Linked DNA regions of Macaca mulatta. The protein of the gene in region 2 interacts with the protein of the main gene of each other region in a pairwise test. Links are inferred from orthologs where the notes say so. Each region holds a gene or a part of one and is shown on either strand. Other genes may lie near its edges.

The links. The genes of interacting proteins can lie anywhere in the genome.
Region 1: the proteins of SKP1 (region 2) and FBXL8 interact in binary tests that used the Homo sapiens proteins (3 or more experiments, as listed by UniProt). The link is inferred for Macaca mulatta from reciprocal best matches to the Homo sapiens genes SKP1 and FBXL8.

Annotation. Positions count from the first base shown.
Region 1 is NC_133425.1:62,701,529-62,705,890, forward strand, and holds the start of FBXL8 (F-box/LRR-repeat protein 8), read left to right. Parts: upstream 1-1,548; 5' UTR 1,549-1,662; intron 1,663-3,383; 5' UTR 3,384-3,434; coding exon 3,435-3,586; intron 3,587-4,116; exon of another isoform or gene 4,117-4,362. UniProt on the Homo sapiens protein: Substrate-recognition component of the SCF (SKP1-CUL1-F-box protein)-type E3 ubiquitin ligase complex.
Region 2 is NC_133411.1:143,061,823-143,065,625, forward strand, and holds part of SKP1 (S-phase kinase-associated protein 1), read right to left. Parts: intron 2,838-3,803; coding exon 2,694-2,837; intron 110-2,693; coding exon 1-109. UniProt on the Homo sapiens protein: Essential component of the SCF (SKP1-CUL1-F-box protein) ubiquitin ligase complex, which mediates the ubiquitination of proteins involved in cell cycle progression, signal transduction and transcription.

The DNA of each region.
Region 1 (4,362 bases), on a different chromosome or scaffold from region 2:
CAAGCGATCTGCCCACCTCAGCCTCCCAAAGTGCTGGGATCACAGGTGTGAGGCACCACACCTGGCCTCCTAATCTTTTCATAGAAAACATTAATACTGTGTACTTACACCAAACCACAGTCTGGATAGTAACAGGAAATTTGCATTTTGTTTATCTCTGGGCAGGATGGAGGGAGGGAGGTGGGGGTGGGGAAGGATTGTGGGTGATTTTTATTTTCTTTGTATTTAGCAATATTTTCTGCTTTATGTGAAGTAGAGACATTTTCTTTGTATTAAAAGAGCAAAATAAATTTGTTTTCTTTAAAAGCAAAACAAGAAAAAGTGGGAAACTCTGCAGGTGACAAGTGGGTCCATGATAGGGAGCCAGCCACGGAGGTGAGATAAGGGGGAGTCCTAGGAAAGTGGCCTGGGGAGTAGGAGAGAGTGAGAACCTCCCCTGGAAACGTTCCCTCTTTCACGTCTTCCTAGCCCCTTGACTTGGGAGTGCTGACCCGATGGTTGTGGCCCCACCCCAAGGGGTGGAAGTGGGGACCAAACGGGACCAATGTCTGCCCATCAGGTCTGCAGGGGAGGGTGGGGAGGCAGGGAGTACTGGGAACCTGGAGACTGGGGATGCTTCCTCACACTCACTAGTACCAGACCCATGGGGGAGGTAAGCCAGGCTGGAGGTCGAGTTAACAGGGTAAAGAGGCCAGGGCCCTAGTTTCGCATCCGCCGATTGGCAGCTCTTCTAACGTGTTCTTTCACAGAAGCCCCTCCTTGGGAAGCCCCGCGCCCCACCCACCCGTAGTCGTCCCTTTTTGGGAGGGGCTGAGGCTTCCAGGCTGGGTCCTGAGAACGTTTGGTGGCCGGAGACTGTGGGGCACTTGGGTACCGACCTAACAACGTCTGCCGCCATTTCCAGGGGCGAGCCACGCACGGTGCCCCTTGAACACTTAACAGTCCCGGGGGCAGCCCCACCTCTGGCTGGGTGGACAGGGACAGCCTGTGGGCGTGGCCCAGAAATGAAAGCCTGCGACTCCTTGCGACCCGCCGGGCACACCCCCTACTCAGCTACGCAGCTCCCGAGCGCTGGAGGGGAGCTTCCCAGGCTCCCACTAGCCCACCCTCAAGCTGGGGTTTCGCACGTGCGATCGGCTGGGGTGGACAGGGGGGTCTCCGCTCAAGGAGGTGTTCAGAACCACCCCTCCTCCCCCACCCTCTCTCCTGCGGGGCCCTACTGCTCCTCGAAAGCGCTGGCAGGGACGAAGAGCCTGCGGGGGCCAAATTCAGTACCGCCCCCCGCCTCCCACGGGAACAGCCCAATAGGCCGCCGCCACCAGCTGGCTGGAGCAGCCGCTGGTGACATCTGCGCCGCGCCCACGCTTCGGAGCCAAGATCCACCTCCGCTCCCGCCCGCACTGGGGAGCCCACCCACACACCCACCCACCAACTGCACTAACCTGGCCGCCTCGGCTGGGCCTGGGTTCCCACGCCCGCCAGGCTCCGCTCTACTCGCGCCGCTTCCGGGTGTGCGCGGAGGCGCTGGGGCGGTGCCCTAGCCCGAGCCTCCTAGTCCGCCCGCGCGTCCTGCTCCGCGGGCTCCCGGTGGCTGCTTCCCGCCCGCTGCCCTCTGCTGCCAGTCCCCTGTCCCGGGCAAAGCCCATCTGGTTCGCTGAGCAGGTAAGACACCAGCGCCCAAGGTTAGACGGCAGGAAGACCGGGACTTTGGGGGTTTGCGATTTTTACGAGGCCGGGGGCTCGTAAGAGCGAGAGCTGCCAGATTTCGGTAGATCAAGGGAGCGCCCCCTGGAGACCAGAATTTTCTGGTGCCCCTGGGGATCCGGCTTCAAGATCGCTGCTGCCAGTGGGCACTCAAAACGGGGTGCCCATGTGTCCCAGGTACAAGCCCAGCCGAGCGTATCTGAAGCCCCAGGAAACACGTGGCACAAATTCCGGGAGAAACTGTTAGCCCGGAAGATATGGGAACATTAACTGGCGAGTAGTGTGAAGCCTTGTGTACGCAAACCTTCAGGAACCTTAAAACAAGATTGGCGGCCCGGCGCAGTGGCTCACGCCTGTAATCCCAGCACTTTGAGAGGCCGAGGCAGGTGGATCACCTGAGATCAGGAGTTCAGGACCAGCCTGGCCAATATGGTGAAACCCCATCTCTACTAAAAATACAAAAATTAGCCGGACGTGGTGGCGCGCGCCTGTAGTCCCAGCTACTCGCGAGGCCGCGGCAGGAGAATCTCTTGAACCCGCGAGGTGGAGGTTGCAGTGAGCCGAGATCTCGCCACTGCACTCCAGCCTGGGCGACACAGCTAGATTCCGTCTCAGAACAAAACAAAACAAAAAGAAAAAACAAACAAGATTGGCAACTTCAAAGAGGACGCACACTTTTCCAATAACCCATCCCCCTCTAAAGGCTGCTCTCCAGGGTGGGTCTGCGGAGTTCCAGCCAAACCCAAAGTGCCCAGCGGGAGCCAGGACTGCTCAGGGGTCGGCACTTGAAACTTGAGCCCCTCAGGCACCAGAACCGTCAGGTCCCAGAGCCCCAAGTTCTTTTTCATCTTGTGGGGCTGTCTTAGGAAGCACCCGGGACATCTCCCCCGCGAGGCGGAGGCGGGGAAGGAGGCGGGGAAAGAGCCTCCCCTCCCGGGGCGGATCCAGCTTTGCCCCGCCCACACCTCGCTTCCTGATTGGCTCATGGTCCCTGACAAGGAAAAGTCTACATTAATGCTCCCGCCTTATTAACCCTGTAGTCACTTTCTACTAACCGGCCGGGTTAAGAAGGGGTTTCTCAGGCCGGGCGCCGTGGCTCATCCCCGTAATCCCATCACTTTGGGAGGCCGAGGCGGGCCGATCGCTCGAGCCCAGGAGTTCGAGGTCAGTCTGGGCAACAAAGCGAGACCTCGTATCTGAAACAAAATTACAAAAATTAGCCAGGCGTGGTGGCGTGCCCCTGTAGTCCCAGCCACTCGGGAGGCTGAGGTGGGAGAATTGCTTGAGCCCGGGATACAGAGGGTGCAGTGAGTTGTGATTGCGCCACCACTGCACTCCAGCCTGGGTAAAGTGGGAGACCCTGTCTCAAAAAAATAAATAAATAAATAAATAAATAAATAAAGGTTGGGGGGTGAGTTCTCAACGTGGAACCTGTGGAGTCACCAGGGACTTGTTGAAATGCAGATTCCTGGGCCTTACCCTTTCCGGAGAGCCTGATTTAGTAGGTGAGGCTGTGAAATCTGCTTTGTGAACAAGTGTTCACAAAGCAGTTATCTGATGCCCCACGCTGTCTGAGAGGCCCTCAAGTTACTCAGGCCACAAGCATTTGTACACCTAAGATGGGTCTTCCGGCAACACTTTGCGCCTTCCTAAGCCCAGAGACGTCCCTTTCTCTCCAGGCCGGAGCTATTGGGAGTGGCGGATCCTCCCACCCCAGCCGGATCCAGGCCATGGCCGAGACTGGAGAGGGACTGCCAGAGGAGGTGTTGGCGCTCATCTTCCGCCACCTGCCCCTGAGAGACCGTGCTGCCGCCGCCAGGGTCTGCAGGGCCTGGGCCGCCGCTGCTACCTGCAGCACTGTGTGGCACGACACAAAAATCAGGTGAGCCTGCTCCTCGACACTCCCCTCCCCATGGCCCACTCACCTTCTCTGTGGAGTCGTGGGCTAGAGATTCAGGTTGACTCCCCCATATTAAAAAATAATTGCTGGCAGGGTGCGGTGGCTTATGCCTGTAATCCCAGCACTTTGGGAGGCCGAGGCGGGTGGATCACCTGAGGTCAGGAGTTTGAGACCACCCTGGCCAACATGCTGAAATCCCCTCTCTACTAAAATACAAAAACTAGCCGGGTGTGGTGGCGGGCGCCTGTAATCCCAGCTACTTCGGAGGCTGAGGCACGAGAATCGCTTGAACCCGGGAGGCGGAGGTTGCAGTGAGCCAAGATCCCGCCACTGCACTCCAGCTTGGCAACAGAGTGAGACTTTATCTCAAAATAATAATAATAGTAATAATAATAATTGCTGACATGTATTGACTACCTAATATATACCAACCATTGTTTTTAAGTGCCTTACATATATTAACTGATTTAATCTTTACGAAAACCTGTGTGGTAAATAGGTATTATCATTACCTCCATTGCCCAGATAGGAAGCTGAGGCAGACAGACTTAATCACTTCCCACAGGTCACTCAGCTAGGGAATGGCAGGGGCAGAATTCGAACCACGCCAAGACTTCTTAGAGACAGCTGAGAAAGCCCAGTTCCTAAAATATCATTGGCTCTCCATGTCCAGGTTTCATCCTGTGGCAGACGCCACTGAAATCTTCTAAAAGGATAGGATGAGAGTTCCCTCCTTTGGGGCAACAGTCGCGGTCTGG
Region 2 (3,803 bases):
TGATATTGAAGGTCTTGCGAATCTCCTCAGGAGTCTTCCCCTTGATCATATTGGCAACAGTCTTGCATGTAACATCAAGCAAACCTTTGATGTCTAAGTAGTTTGCAGCCTGTAAAGAGACAGTTGTTTTCCTTAAAGTATACTTGATGTTTTAAACTAAATCCAAAGTTAATGATTCACATTCCATATCTAATAAAGCTTAAAATGCTAATTTTAAATTAAAGGGAGAATAAATCACTCTTAAGTTCTTCTGTGAAAGACTTTTATGTGACCTTCTTTGTTACACCTCTATAATGTTGCATCCCTATGCTTCCTTAACCAAACTATACTAGCTCAAATGTTAAATAACAGCCACTACTGTTGTGTATGTGTGTACACATGCACACAAATACCACATCAGGTCTTGGCAAAAATATTTGTCCACACTTAAAGAGTTCAAAAATAAGCAGTTAAAGCACTACACTTTATTGATCTCTTTTTAAAAAACAGGTTTTGGTTTCATTGACTTTATTGTTTACCTGTTTTCTATTTCATTGATTTCTGCCCTTTAATATTCTCATTTTTCTGTTTACTTTAATTTCATCCTTTACTAGTTTAAGGTGGAAGCTTAATCACCGATCTGAAACTTTTTTCCTTTCTAATAATATAGGTATTTCATTCCATCAGTTTCCTTCTAAGTAATTCTTTAGCTGCATCTCACAGATTTTTCATGTGTTTTATTTCCATTCAGCTCAAAATACTTTCTATTTCTTCTTTGACCCGTAGCTTACCTGCAAATGTGTTAGTTTAAAAGTAGTTGCAGATTTTTCCAGATATCTTTCTGTTTGTGATTTCTAATTCCATTGCAGTCAGAAGACAAACTTTGTATGACTTGAATCCTTTTACAATAGACTTTTTTTGAGACACCATCTCACTCTGTCACCCAGGCTGGAATTCAGTGGCATGATCTCGGCTTACTGCAACCTGCACCTCCCAGGTTCAGCCGATTCTCTTGCCTCAGTCTCCCAAGTAGGTGGGATTACAGGTGCGTGTCTCCACACCCAGCTAATTTATTTATTTATTTTTGAGACGGGTCTCTCGCTCTGTCACTGGAGGGCGGTGGAGCGATCTTGGCTCACTGCAAGCTCCACCTCCCGGGTTCACGCCATTCTCCACAGCCTCCAAGTAGCTAAGACTACAGGCGCCTGCCACCACGCCCGGCTAATTTTTTGTATTTTTAGTAGAGACGGGATTTCACCATGTTAGCCAAGATGGTCTCGATTTCCTGACCTCGTGATCCTCCCGCCTCGGCCTCCTAAAGTGCTGGGATTACAGGTGTGAGCCACTGTGCCCAGCCTAAAACATTATATGTAATGATAGCAGAATACATATTCTTTTCAAGTGTATATTACCAAGACAGACCATGTCCTGGGCCATAAAACAAGTCTCAGCCAGGCGCAGTGGCTCACGCCTATAACCCCGACACTTGGGAGGGCGAGGCGGGTGGATCACTTGAGGCTAGGAGTTCGAGACCAGCCTGGCCAGCATGATGAAACCCCATCTCTACTAAAAATATAAAAAATTAGCTAGGTGTGATGGCTCATGCCTGTAATCTCAGCTACTCATAAGGCTAAGGCAGAGAATCGCTTGAACCCGGGAGGTGGAGGTTGCAGTGAGCCAAAATCACACCACTGCAACACAGCCTGTGTGACAAGAGTGAAACTCTGTCTCAAAAAAAAAAAAAAAAAAAAAAAAAAAAAAATATATATATATATATATATATATATATAAAATGTTTTATAAATGTCCATTAAGACAATTTGGTCAATAGTGTTATATCAAGTTATCCTGATTTCTGTCTAGTTATATTAACTGAGAGAGGTGCTGAAATCTCTATGATTGTCACTTTGTGGACTTCTTTGAGTTCTACTGGGTTTTGTTTCACTTGGAAGTTCTGCTTCTAGGCAGATAAACATTTATAACTGTTACGTCTTTTTAAAAAACTGATCCCCTTATCAATATGAAATAATCCTCTTTAACCCTGGTAATATTCTTTCCCTCCAAACCTATTTTAATATAGTTACTCCAGCTTTCTTTTGACTCGTGTTAGTGTAGTGTATCTTCTTCCATTCTTTAAACCTAGTTGTGTCTATATATTTAAAGTGGGTTTCTTTTTTTTTTTTTTTTTTTGAGACGGAGTCTCGCTCTGTCGTCCAGGTTGGAGTACAGTGACCAGATCTCAGCTCACTGCAAGCTCCGCCTCCTGGGTTTACGCCATTCTCCTGCCTCAGCCTCCCGAGTAGCTGGGACTACAGGCGCCCGCCACCTCGCCCGGCTAGTTTTTTGTATTTTTTAGTAGAGACGGGGTTTCACCGTGTAGGCCACGATGGTCTCGATCTCCTGACCTCGTGATCCGCCCGTCTCGGCCTCCCAAAGTGCTGGGATTACAGGCTTGAGCCACCGCGTCCAGCCTAAAGTGGGTTTCTTATAGACAGCATAGCTAAGCTTGCTTTTCTGATCTGGTAATTTCTGCCTTTTAGCTGTGTTGAGACCATTTACATTTAGTGTGTTACTGATATGTGGATTTAAATATGGCATTACATTTGAATTTAGAGAGTATTAAAATTCAGTGTCAATGAAGTTAGCAAATTTTAAATCTATAAGAAGTGTTTAAAGGCTCTGGAACAGAGCTATCTTACACGTTAAACACTTACCAGAATGAGTTCAAAAAGTGTTCCTTGGTCAACTTTCAGGAATTCTTGGTCCCAAACAGGGATATCGTCTGTTCGCTTTTCTTTGTTCTCATCATCTTCAGGAGGAGGAGGGTCATCCTTGTGGTGGGTGCACCACTGAATGACCTACAACAACAAAAAAGTTTTATTCCTCTGTGGCATTTTGTCACAAGGTACTCATTCGAATCACTGCTGGGACAACTTATCCCTATACTGGAATAATAACTAGCTAGAGGTTGACTTGAGCCATTAACAGCCAAGCTTGAAAAGCAAAAATGAAGAATCTTTATAACCCTAGAAGGGAAAAGATCTTATTAGATAAAAGCAAGCCATGCTGACAGAGTACTGTACTTGACTACATTAAAAAGCTTCTATGCAAAAAGAAAAGTTAGACAGGACAATGACTGGAAGATACCTGCAGTATGTACAATGATTAGCCGAGAGAATATAAAATGTTTAAAAAATCATTATAGAGGCCAGGCGCGGTGGCTCAAGCCTGTAATCCCAGTACTTTGGGAGGCCGAGACGGGCGGATCACGAGCTCAGGAGATGGAGACCATCCTGGCTAACACGGTGAAACCCTGTCTCTACTAAAAAAAAAAATACAAAAAACTAGCCAGGAGAGGTGGTAGGCGCCTATAGTCCCAGCTACTCGGGAGGCTGAGGCAGGAGAATGGCGTAAACCCGGGAGGCGGAGCCTGCAGTGAGCTGAGATCCGGCCACTGCACTCCAGCCTGGGCGACAGAGCCAGACTCCGTCTCAAAAAAAAAAAAAAAAAAAAATCATTATAGAGAAATGGGTTAATAATATGTACAGGCAATAAATGAAATCTGAAAGGCCAAACACAAGGAACACTCAACTTTACCAGAAGCAAAACTAACACTATGGATACTTCTCTAGATTGAAAAAAATCAAGAAACTGATACTAATTGTTCGGCAACAGTGGAAAGGAAACACGAACTCTATAGGGAGTATAAACTGGTATAACCCCTTTGAAAGCTAATCCAGCACTCCTCAGTTAAAACTGAATATGTATATATATTGTAACCAGGAAATTCCAAATACCCCAGACACATGTGTAAGACTATTTGG